Linked DNA regions of Callithrix jacchus. The main gene of each other region encodes a partner of the protein of the gene in region 2 in a complex. Links are inferred from orthologs where the notes say so. Each region holds a gene or a part of one and is shown on either strand. Other genes may lie near its edges.

Region 1 (5,366 bases), on a different chromosome or scaffold from region 2:
GTCAAGTGCAGTAGTGAAAAGGGGGGAAAGAGTAGAACAAGGAGTTTAATCTGTAACTGACTGAACAATCAACTGAGATAACTGGCTCCCTTCAGACCAGCCAGTTTCCCTGTTGCTACTGATGGCCTCACCTCTTTGGCAACACAGGGCTCAGAGTCTTGGTCCTCCTCCACCCTTTCTGTTTCCCCACCATCAGTTGCCCACTGAGTTCTTTTTAGTCTTTTCCACTGATCAGTCACTTTCCTGTCCATTTCTATGCCCCCCATTCACTTTCAGGCTTTATCTTCCACAGGTGATGGCACTCATCTCTCCACTAGCAGTCTAGCTCTTTTGGTCTTTTATTGGTTTCCTGAGGCGTGTGGATTACATTCCCATTTTCTTGTCACGACATTGAAGCCCTTCCATTTCCTCTCTTCAAGCTTACTAGATCCTTGATGTTCTCGAGGGATAAACCTTGAGACTTTCAAATCTTGAACCTCTGAGTATTTACCTTCATAAAATGTCTGTTTTCTGGTGAGAACCGTCACTTTCTTAATGCCCCTCTTTCTGCTCACTTTCGTTAACAGCACTAGTGGTTGACTTTCTCTTGGGAGCCATTCTTTGTGCAGATAATATCTGGAGCCTTAATATGCGCATGGCTATGAGATTTAGGTGCTGGGTGATCACCGTGGTTCACTCCGTGGCCAAGTGCCTTTCCCTGCCGTTTCTGACTTCAAAGTGCATGATTCAGTTATAGGCCAGAGAAATCACAGACTCATATCCAAGGTCCAGTGTGCTGGACCTCAGGGTCACTTTCAAATAGGTTTACAATAATATTGAATGCCCATCTGGGTGTAGTGGCTTACCACTGTGATCCCAGCACTTTGGGAGGCTTAGGCAGGCGGATCACATGAGGCCAGGAGTTAGAGACCGGTCTGGCCAACATGCCAAAACCCCATCTCTACTAAAAAGTACGAAAATTAGCCAGGTGTAGTGCTGCGCATCTGTAATCCCAGATTATACTTGGGAGACTGAGGCCTGAGAATTGCTTGAACCCTGGAGGCGGAGGTTGCAGTGAGCCGAGATCATGTCATTGCTCCCCAGCCTGGGTGACAGAGTGAGACTATCTCAGGAAAAAAAAAAAGTCAATGTCCCCTGTCTATTATGTTTGCTTTTTATTTCTTAGACATATGATGTGCCTTCCTGGTTAATATTAACTCTTTTTCATTACTTCAGCCATTCATCCCTTAGTTCTTCGTGTTTGTGTCTTATTCCCCTTGCTGAATTCCAAATCCCTTCTTATTTCTTAATTTTTTGTACAGAGTCTTGCTATGTTGCCCAGGCTGCTCTCAAATTCCTGGGCTCAAATGATCCTCCCACCTTGGCCTCCCAGAGTGCTGAGAGATTACAGGCATGGGCCACCGCACCCTGCTCCAAAACCTTTGGCGGTAGAGGAACCATGCATTCTTCACCTTTTGTACACCACCATGGTGCTTGCCCCAGAGCTTTGCTTTGTTCAAGTGAGCAATAAATTCCTTTTCTTACTTCTTATTCTGTTGGCTTCCTGTGAATTCTAGGGCTAGGAAAGAACTGTGGAAGTCAGTAAAATTCCATCCTTCTGCCTCAGGGAGGGGCCACATTCAGACTCCCTGGGAAAGTCTGGTAGAATGACCGTAGAAGAGTTTCGCAGTTTCTAATTAACATGTAGCAGTGACTTAAAGTTTTTTACATGTAGACCTCCCAAAACAATTTTGAAAATCGATGCCCCCTCATACATTTTTAAACTGATACCTAAAAAATTTTAAGTAGTTGCAGAGAAGGTAACTTCTGGCATATAATTTATTACATACTTATTTCAGGCATACATTTGTCAAAATTTTAGATTCCTAGTTAGTTTGTACGAATGTTTGCCAGATAGCCTAACTGGCAAATGCCAATGTGTGTTGAAAAGCCAGTGGACCAAGTTAGACTAAGTTTTCTGTCAGAAAAAGTCTGACTTTGTTACCACATTCAGATAAAGTTGTTGAATATGTCCTTATCACAACAGTCTGTCATATTTCTTAGTTCTTGTCATTAGACAAGAGTTAAGTCACAGAACCATACTTGTGTTTGTGATATGACTGAAACAAGATCAGCCCCTTCACTGAATTTTACCCAGATGCTCCTTTTGCTCTTTGGTTCTTAGGGAAAAGCCCCTTTTGTCCCTTAGTTTAGAACCCTTATATTTTTATACCCCTGAGCATTGTACCATGGAAAGATCTGGGATAAATGACAGGTATCTGTTTCTTCTATAAAGTGGGAGAAGGGTGATGGTGAAAACAGAGGCAGTTCAATTTTAGGAAAGAGAACATTGAGAGAAATTGGCGCTCTTAATGCTATTAGCGCCCAGAACTCCCTCGCAAGTTTCTGTATACTACTTGGAGGTATGTGTACTCCATCCAGCATGAAGACTGCTATTCTAGGATTATTTAGCCCTCATGTCTAGGAGGTCTTAACTGGAAATTCCTTTATTATTCTTACTAAGCCCCTAATTTCTCATTCCCTGTCTTTACTAATACTTTTCTTTACAAGACTTTTTAGGTTTTATAGGTCTGTAAACTTCTCCTCTTAGCTTCTGTCTAATCCATAACCTACCACAAAATTTGTTAAATTGCATCCTGAGACCAACTCTTCCTCCCTCCTGTGCCTTGATTATTCCTGGGCTGGCCTTCTTGTAATGCTTCGGCTTGTTTTCTGTCATATTTATCTTTCTCTCTACTTTTCAGCTCATGCTGCGCAGGTCACCTGTGTCGCTGCTTCTCCCCACAAGGATTCTGTGTTTCTTTCATGCAGTGAGGTGAGAGATAGCTCCTTCTTCCCTAAACACACTCCAGTCCTCCATAGGCCACAGTCTCTAGTGTGGAGATTTTCTGGCCTACAGCTGCTCCTTTGGATTGTGAAGTCCTTTTTCTTTTCCGCCTCCCTCTAGGACAATAGAATTTTACTTTGGGATACCCGCTGTCCCAAGCCAGCATCACACATTGGTGAGTCTGAGATTCATTGGTGGGAGAATAGTACTTGGAACCCCAATAGAAGAGACTTTCTTTGGCCAGTGTCAAAGCAGATTTGCCAGATTCCCGATCTAGTTACTGTGACATGAGTAACATAATCTCCTTCTTTTCCACTGAGGCTCTCCTAACCCCATTCTGTGCACTGAATACCAAGAGGAAGGGCCAGTTCCTGGGTGGGTTATTTATTTTATTAGGTGGGAGGACAAAGGGGCCAGAATTGTTATCTTCATGACTGTGTTTGAAACTGGCCTGCGACTCATGTCCAGAAAGCGCAGGAGGCTGGTGGATAAATGGTTATGAGGCTGAAGGATGAGGACATTGCTGCCTTAGCAGGGTTTGGGAACTCCAATAAAGGTGCTCCTAGGATTTATAGTGATGTCACTTGAGAAAGTGCTTCTTCTGGGCTCTGAGTTTTAGTCCAGACCCTCTTCTCTTTGCAGGTTGCAGTGCCTCTGGCTCCCTTCCTACCTCACTGGCTTGGCATCCTCAGCAAAGTGAAGTCTTTGTCTTTGGTAAGGCAGCATGTCAGACTTCATATTGACTCTGGGAAAGGGGAGGAGGAGAGAAAAAGAGCTGACTCCACAATGCACAAGGCTCTTGCTGCTCAGTCTTATCAGCACTCGTGGACGCTAGATGAATATGAATTAAGGGTGGGGAGGTGGGGGTGATGCTAATGTAGTTTTACTGTAGCTTTGGAGAACATTTTTTTTCCCAGTGGATTTGATTTTTGATTGATTGATCCAGCTCCGGTATTCTGGGCATGGCTAGAAGTCAGAGAGCCACAAAACAAGTGGGTTGCTGTATACGGAATTCTCTTAGACTGTGGGTAGGTGTAGGGCTATTGCGGTCATGAGGCTGTGCATATGGTGACATGGTTTGTGGTTAAAATAATAACTCCTTCATTCATTAACTTAATTTTCACAATCGTCCAGTGACTTCTTATTCCTACTTTGCAAACCAGAAAACTACTGCACCAAAAGAGAAAACTGACTTTGGCTGGCACCAAGTCCATGCTCTTAACCACTGTGACATGTTCCTTTCTCTTCTACAGGGGACGAAAATGGGATGGTCTCCCTTGTTGACACCAAGAGTACAAGCTGTGTCCTCAGCTCAGCTGTACATTCCCAGTGTGTCACTGGGCTGGTGTTCTCACCACACAGGTACTGGTCTTTGTTATCAGGGGCCTGATGGGTATGAATGGGAACAGTGAGGGGGTGTGTGTATATTTTCTTTCTTTTTTTTTTTGAGACGGAATTTCGTTCTTGTTACCCAGTCTGGAGTACAATGGCGCGATCTCGGCTCACCGCAACCTCCGCCTCCTGGATTCAGGCAATTCTCCTGCCTCAGCCTCCCGAGTAGCTGGGATTACAGGCACGCGCCACTGTGCCCAGCTAATTTTTTTGCATTTTTAGTAGAGACGGGGTTTCACCATGTTGACCAGGATGGTCTCTATCTCTTGACCTCGTGTTCCACCCGCCTTGGCCTCCCAAAGTGCTGGGATTACAGGCTTGAGCCACTGCACCCGGCCTATTTTCAAAGCATTAGCTGATTAAATAGTTCTTTAAAGCAGACAGTGTTCTAGCTGAGGTTTCGGAACATGAAAGGTCTTCAGAGGGCTCTTAAGTGTGAAGGAGCAACTGCAGGCCAGAAAATCTCCACACTAGAGACTGTGGCCTATGGAGGGCTGGAGTGTGTTTAGGGAAGAAGGCGCTATCTCTCACCTCACTGCATGAAAGAAACACAGAATCCTTGTGGGGAGAAGCAGCAACACAGGTGACCTGCGCAGCATGAGCTGAAAAGTAGAGAGAAAGATAAATATGACAGAAAACAAGCCGAAGCATTACAAGAAGGCCAGCCCAGGAATAATCAAGGCACCGGAGGGAGGAAGAGTTGGTCTCAGGATGCAATTTAACAAATTTTGTGGTAGGTTATGGATTAGACAGAAGCTAAGAGGAGAAGTTTACAGACCTATAAAACCTAAAAAGTCTTGTAAAGAAAAGTATTAGTAAAGACAGGGAATGAGAAATTAGGGGCTTAGTAAGAGTAATAAAGGAATTTCCAGTTAAGACCTCCTAGACATGAGGGCTAAATAATTCTAGAATAGCTGTCTTCATGCTGGATGGAGTACACATACCTCCAAGTAGTATACAGAAACTTGCGAGGGAGTTCTGGGCGCTAATAGCATTAAGAGCGCCAATTTCTCTTAATGTTCTCTTTCCTAAAATTGAACTGCCTCTGTTTTCACCATCACCCTTCTCTCACTTGATAGAAGAAACAGATACTGTCATTTATCCCAGATCTTTCTATGGTACAATGCTCAGGGGTATAAAAATATAA
Region 2 (6,014 bases):
TCAAAGTCAACATTAAATCATAAATCATGTGGATAGTATGTACCCTTGATATGATGTGATTAAAGTAGCAGTTTTTTTTTTTTTTTTTGAGACAGTCTCACTCTGTTGCCCAGGCTGGAGTGTAGTGGTGTGATCTCGGCTCACTGCAGCCTCTACTTCCCTCGTTCAAGTGATTCTCCTGCCTCAGCCTCCAAGTAGCTGGTATTACAGGCATGCCCCATCAAGCCCAGCTAATTTTTGTATTTTTAGTAGAGATGGGTTTTCACTATGTTGGCCGGGCTGGTCTTGAATTCCTGACCTCAGGTGATCCACCTGCCTTAGCCTCCCAAAGTATTAGGATTATGGGCATGAGCCACCGCACCTGGCAAAAATACCACTTTAACTTTGTGATCTTCCTTCCCAAATCACAACCCCAGTCTAAGCATGAGAAATACAGACAAATTCCAGCAGAGGGATATCCTACAATATACCTAATCAGTACCCCTCAAAATTACCAAGGTCATCCAAAACAAGGAACATCTGAGAAAGCATCATAGCCAAGAGGAGCCTAAGGAGACATAGCAACTAAATGTCATATGATATCCTGCATGGGATCCTGGAGCAGAAAAAAGTCTGTGGGTAATAATAATAGTAATGATAATAGTAGACAAAAGCACCTCCAGTCCCTTCAGGCTTCATGGTGCATTTTTTTAGTTCTTTGGTTTTCAGACTTTCATTCTTTTGAGGCACTTGCATTGCACCCAGGGTTCCCCAGAACTTATCCTATCCCACAGCCTTTCCGTATTTCCTATGGCTCTGTCCCCTACGAGCGATGGTGATCTCAAGTCTTGTGGCTTCAGTTCATTTCTTCTGGCGACCTCCATCTCACATGGTTCAGATCACTGTTCATCCAACTTTCTATTACACAGCGCCCCCTAGACGTTCAATTCAGCATGACCAAACCCAAACCCTGACTTCCTAAACCCGCTTCTCTCATTTCTTGCTCACTGCATAGACAGAGTCGTAGGCATCACCCCTGGCTTTTCTTTCACAGGGTTCCCTGCCAGTCGATCCCTAAGTTCTGCCAGCGGCGCCTGCGTGGGGCGGACTCTTGTATCGTGTTCTCTTCTTTATCCTTGCTGCCAGGCCCTCAACACCTGTGAGCCCTCTTCCTTCAGGAGTTCCCATTTACCTCCCTATGCCTTTCCTTGCTTCCTTCCTTTCCATCTCTAGCAGCTACTGACATGGGAAAATGTAGATTCTCTCGGGTCTCCACGCCAGGCAATTTCATGACTGCTACCCAATGAAATTCCTTACCGTGAATTCCTTTTCTCCATCTTGAGGTGTGTGTTTAGGCGTTTATTTACATCTTTTGTGTTTGAAACAGAATCACTAGGAAGTAGCTGAGTTACCACAGTTTATTTTAATATGTAGCATTGTAAAGTGACAAAGCCCATTTTAATAGCACCAGCCATTAACCCAGTTTTCTCAATTGACACAAGAAAAACACCTCTGAAGGTAGTTACGGGAAAACCTGACATTAGATGACTGCGGAACCCAACCAACCTAGGACCTGAAAATGAAAGTGAAGATAATAAAGAAGCTACAAACTGAGATAGGAAGGGGAAATTAGAAAATGCTCATGTAGCAAAAGAGAGCGGCCTCACCGAGCCAGCCAGGAGTCGAACCTGGAATCTTCTGATCCGTAGTCAGACGCGTTATCCATTGCGCCACTGGCCCTGGGATAGGAGCGTTTTCTTCTCTGCTATTACTTCAAGGTTATACTGCAGGGTTTCATGGGAGGTGTAGTTTCTTAACTGAATTCGGCCGCTGCACTAAGCATTCTGGGAGATTGAAGTTCATCAGAAACCAGACCCTGAGATTGGTGGATCTGCAGGAGCCACGCCGTACGCCACTGTGCAGCCGGCGGATTGGAGGGAAAAGCCACTCTCCTTCTCTCCCGTTCAGGAGCGGTGGCAGACGCTCTGGTTGTTAAGGCGACTCGTCCCGCCTTCTGGGGGGGGAGGGGGCTTCAGTTCGGCTTTGTGATTGGCTACTACTATCAAGGAATCCCGGCGTGGACAGCGCGAGGAAAAAGATGGCGGCGATGGCGGTCGGGGGTGCTGGTGGGAGCCGCGTGTCGAGCGGGAGGGACCTGAATTGCGTCCCCGAAATAGCTGACACACTAGGGGCTGTGGCCAAGCAGGGGTGAGGGCCGGATCTCCACGAGCGGAATGCTGGGTCCGAACTCGGGGACGGAGAAGGGCAAACTAGTCATCCCGGAGAAGCAGGGGTGAGGGGGTCGGCTAGGATGAGGGCGGGAGAGACTATTACTCTTTGGAGGGGAGGATCCTCGGACCCAGGAAAGTGAGGAAAAGAACTTATGAGGGGCCTGTGGTCACTGAGTCCAAAAGTTGGGGGAGTTGTTGGGTAAACTCAAAAGGGCCCTGGAGGTCGCGATTATTGTCTGGGAGTGGGAGGAGGTTTTAGGGGGCAAGGGAGAGAAGAGGCTAATTTTGACGGGGGAGGCATGGGCGGAACTGGGGCAAATCAGGATGTGATGTTCTGGAAAGACTGTCACTTGAGGAGAAAAAAATTCTGCTTGTGGATTTCCATCGTTTTCTCCTTACATTTTCCATGGCTGTGTTTTGGGGAGAAATTGAGGCACAGTACAGCAGAAGTGATATCCCCCAAGGTGGTCTGAACTCAGCAGCCTAGTGGGGTGAACTGATGGCAGCTGAAAGGGCTGTGGAAAAATCAAGGTAGCCTAAATCCAGTTGCTTGGCTCTCTGGCACTGCTGCTCTCTTTACATGATTCTGGGTCTGTCGCGGTTGTAGGTTTGATTTCCTCTGCATGCCCGTCTTCCATCCGCGTTTCAAGAGGGAGTTCATTCAGGAACCTGCTAAGAATCGACCTGGCCCCCAGACACGATCAGACCTACTGCTGTCAGGAAGGGGTAGGGACCATCCCATATGCCCCTTAATTATTAGAGGCAATAACAACTTAAGCTTTATCGGGGCCCTCATTCTCCTCCTTTTCTGACTTGGATATATTTGTTAGTCCCTGGGATATAAATAACTTGTTTTCTCCTTGCTTCTCTATTCTGCACCAGGCTATCCCACATCTATGTAGAAAAAAACCTTTGTCTCTCATTTCTACACTTGAGTTCCTACTAAAAACTGAAAATTGAACAAGTAAAGTGCTGAACCTTATTCAGTATTTGTCTTTCTTGGGTGGGGGAGTGCAGACTGGAATACGCTAATTGTGGGAAAGCTTTCTCCATGGATCCGTCCAGACTCAAAAGTGGAGAAGATTCGCAGAAACTCTGAGGTGGTAAGACTGACTTCTTTGCTGGATCTTTCTAAAGATTAGGTCTGTAACCATGCTGGGTGGGGAAAGTGGCCCCCTCCCACCCCCAGTAACTTGGTAAATCAATTGAAACAATGAAATGAAAGCTATTAGGCTGGGAGCAGTGATGCACACCTATAATCCTAGCACTATGGGAAGCTGAGGCTATAGGATCACTGGAGCTCAGGAGTTCGAGACCAGCCTGGGCAGCATAGTGAAACTTCGTATCTATAAAAAATACAAAACTTAGCCAGGCATGGTGGTGCATGCCTGTGGTCCCAGCTACTCAGGAGGCTGAGGTAGGAGGATGAATTGAGCTTGGGGAGGTCGAGGCTGCAGTGAGTCAAGATTATGCCACTGCACTCCAGCCTGGGTGACAGAGTAAAACTTTGTCTCAAAAAGAAAGAAAAGAAAGCTATTTGCTTGTTAACTCAACCTTTTCCTCTTTATATCCATTTCAGGCCATGTTACAGGAGCTGAATTTTGGTGCATATTTGGGTCTTCCAGCTTTCCTGCTGCCCCTTAATCAGGAAGATAACACCAATCTGGCCAGAGTTTTGACCAACCACATCCACACTGGCCACCACTCTTCCATGGTATAGCTGAGAGGCTCTTTTCCTGCTGCATATCATGGTAGTCAGATTGTGTTAAGTGCCTTTTTGTGCCTAGCCATTCAGTGAAGGTTATGTTTGGCAGAATTTAAATATAAGTATTGCCAGGCACAGTGGCTCATGCCTGTAATCCCACCTTGGGAGGCTGAGATGGGCAGATTGCTGAGCTCAGGAGTTCAAGACCAACTTGGGCAACATAGTGAAACCCCGTCTCTACCAAAAAAAAAAAAAAAAGCCACACAACACAACGCAAATTAGCCAGATGTGGTGTCATGCACCTGTAGTCCCAGCTACTTGGGAAGCTGAAGTGGGAGGATGACTTGAACCTGTGAGGCGGAGGTTACAGTGAGCTGAAATTGTACCACTGCACTCCAGCCTCAGTGACAGAGCCAGACCTTGTCCCCCCAAAAAAGGTCAGATTGCCCTGCCCATCTAAAAGTGGTATGAAGAGAATTTCAGAACATGTAAATGTAATTATTTTAGAAACTTACATAAGGCAGATATTTACCTAAGGATATTTACCTAAGATACACGTTCACTTACAAAATCACAAATTGGGAAAAGCATAAAGGGATTAACGAGGTCTGGATGAAGACTTTTTTAATTGAGGGAAACTTTCTGGACCCAATCAGTTCAAAAGAGAGTTCTAAAAGGGTGAATGTTTATGTGCAGTTCTGGATGCGGGTACCATTGGTGGCACCAGAAGACCTGAGAGATGATATAATTGAGAATGCACCAATTACACACACGCAGGAGTACAGTGGGGAGGAGAAGACATGGATGTGGTATGTCTCCCTTTGCTGCTGTACCAGGGTGCAAGGGATAGGGTGAGGGGAAGTACAGAGCGGAACCTGTAGGGAGGTCTTGAGCTATGGTGATTGGTCGGCCATATGTAGATGACTGTACTTTTCTGTATTTGACTCTGAACAGGTGGCACAACTTCCGGACTTTGTGTGACTACAGCAAGAGGATTGCAGTGGGTGAGTCCATGAGGATCCTGGGATGAGTGTCGCTTCTCTGACCTGTGAATAAGAAATAGGAATTTTGTGTATAGTATACAATTTTGCTACTTTCCCACTATCTCAGACTGCCTTTCTCTGAAAAAGTAAACAGAATTGCACAAAGGAGCAAGGAAGAGTGTCTTGACTGGCAGTGGTTGACAGTTTTTCTTTTGCCTCACTCATGTAGCTCTTGAAATTGGGGCTGACCTCCCATCTAATCATGTCATTGATCGCTGGCTTGGGGAGCCCATCAAAGCAGCCATTCTCCCCACCAGCATTTTCCTGACCAATAAGAAGGGATTTCCTGTTCTTTCTAAGATGCACCAGAGGCTCATCTTCCGGCTCCTTAAGGTGAGTGGTAGAAGGGTCCAAAAGATGGTCCAGCTATATGTCTTGCTTTATTCGCCTGTGTATGATTGTTTTTTCCTGTGAGGCTGACATTGTGTGTGTGTGTTTTGGAGTTTCGATCTTGTTGCCCAGTCTGGAGTGCAATCGTGCAATCTTGGCTCACTATATCCTCTACCTTCTGGGTTCAGATGATTCTCCTGCCTCAGCCTCCCGAGTAGCTGGGATTACAGGCATGCGCCACCACGCCCAGCTAATTTTTGTATTTTTAGTAGAGACAGGGTTTCACCATATTGGTCAGGCTGGTTTTGAACTCCTGACCTCAGGTGATCCACCCACCTTGGCCTCCCAAAATGCTGGGATTACAGGCATGAGCCACCATGCCCACCCTGAAGATGACTCTGGTTTCTGGGTAGGAATTTTAGTGAAGTTGGGTGTCTTGAGAACAAAAAGGCAAATGACAGTAGTAGCCCTAGGAACCTTTCAAAAGGAAGCAAACCTCATGAGAACTTTGCAGAAGGTTTCATTTAGGAAATTACAGCAAGGATCCATGGGGCTCTTTGGGTGTTGATGATAATTTTATGGCATAAGAGGGATTTTTTTTTTTTCTTCTTTTTTTTTTTTAAGATAGGGTCTTACTCTGTCACCCAGACTGGAGTGCAGCGACATGATCTCTGTTCACCGGAACCTCTGCCTCCTGCGCTTAAGCGATTCTCCTGCTTTAGCCTC

The links. The genes of interacting proteins can lie anywhere in the genome.
Region 1: PRMT5 (region 2) and WDR77 share a complex: the UniProt entries of both Homo sapiens proteins name them as parts of the methylosome complex. The link is inferred for Callithrix jacchus from reciprocal best matches to the Homo sapiens genes PRMT5 and WDR77.

What each region holds. Positions count from the first base shown.
Region 1 is NC_133508.1:149,396,565-149,401,930, reverse strand, and holds part of WDR77 (methylosome protein WDR77), read left to right. Parts: intron 1-2,744; coding exon 2,745-2,815; intron 2,816-2,947; coding exon 2,948-3,002; intron 3,003-3,469; coding exon 3,470-3,541; intron 3,542-4,080; coding exon 4,081-4,189; intron 4,190-5,366. UniProt on the Homo sapiens protein: Non-catalytic component of the methylosome complex, composed of PRMT5, WDR77 and CLNS1A, which modifies specific arginines to dimethylarginines in several spliceosomal Sm proteins and histones.
Region 2 is NC_133509.1:57,296,733-57,302,746, reverse strand, and holds the start of PRMT5 (protein arginine N-methyltransferase 5), read left to right. Parts: upstream 1-2,062; 5' UTR 2,063-2,077; coding exon 2,078-2,187; exon of another isoform or gene 2,188-2,213; coding exon of another isoform or gene 2,214-2,272; intron 2,273-2,817; coding exon 2,818-2,936; intron 2,937-3,092; exon of another isoform or gene 3,093-3,227; coding exon 3,228-3,313; intron 3,314-3,789; coding exon 3,790-3,924; intron 3,925-4,611; coding exon 4,612-4,724; intron 4,725-4,869; coding exon 4,870-4,919; intron 4,920-5,127; coding exon 5,128-5,291; intron 5,292-6,014. UniProt on the Homo sapiens protein: Arginine methyltransferase that can both catalyze the formation of omega-N monomethylarginine (MMA) and symmetrical dimethylarginine (sDMA), with a preference for the formation of MMA.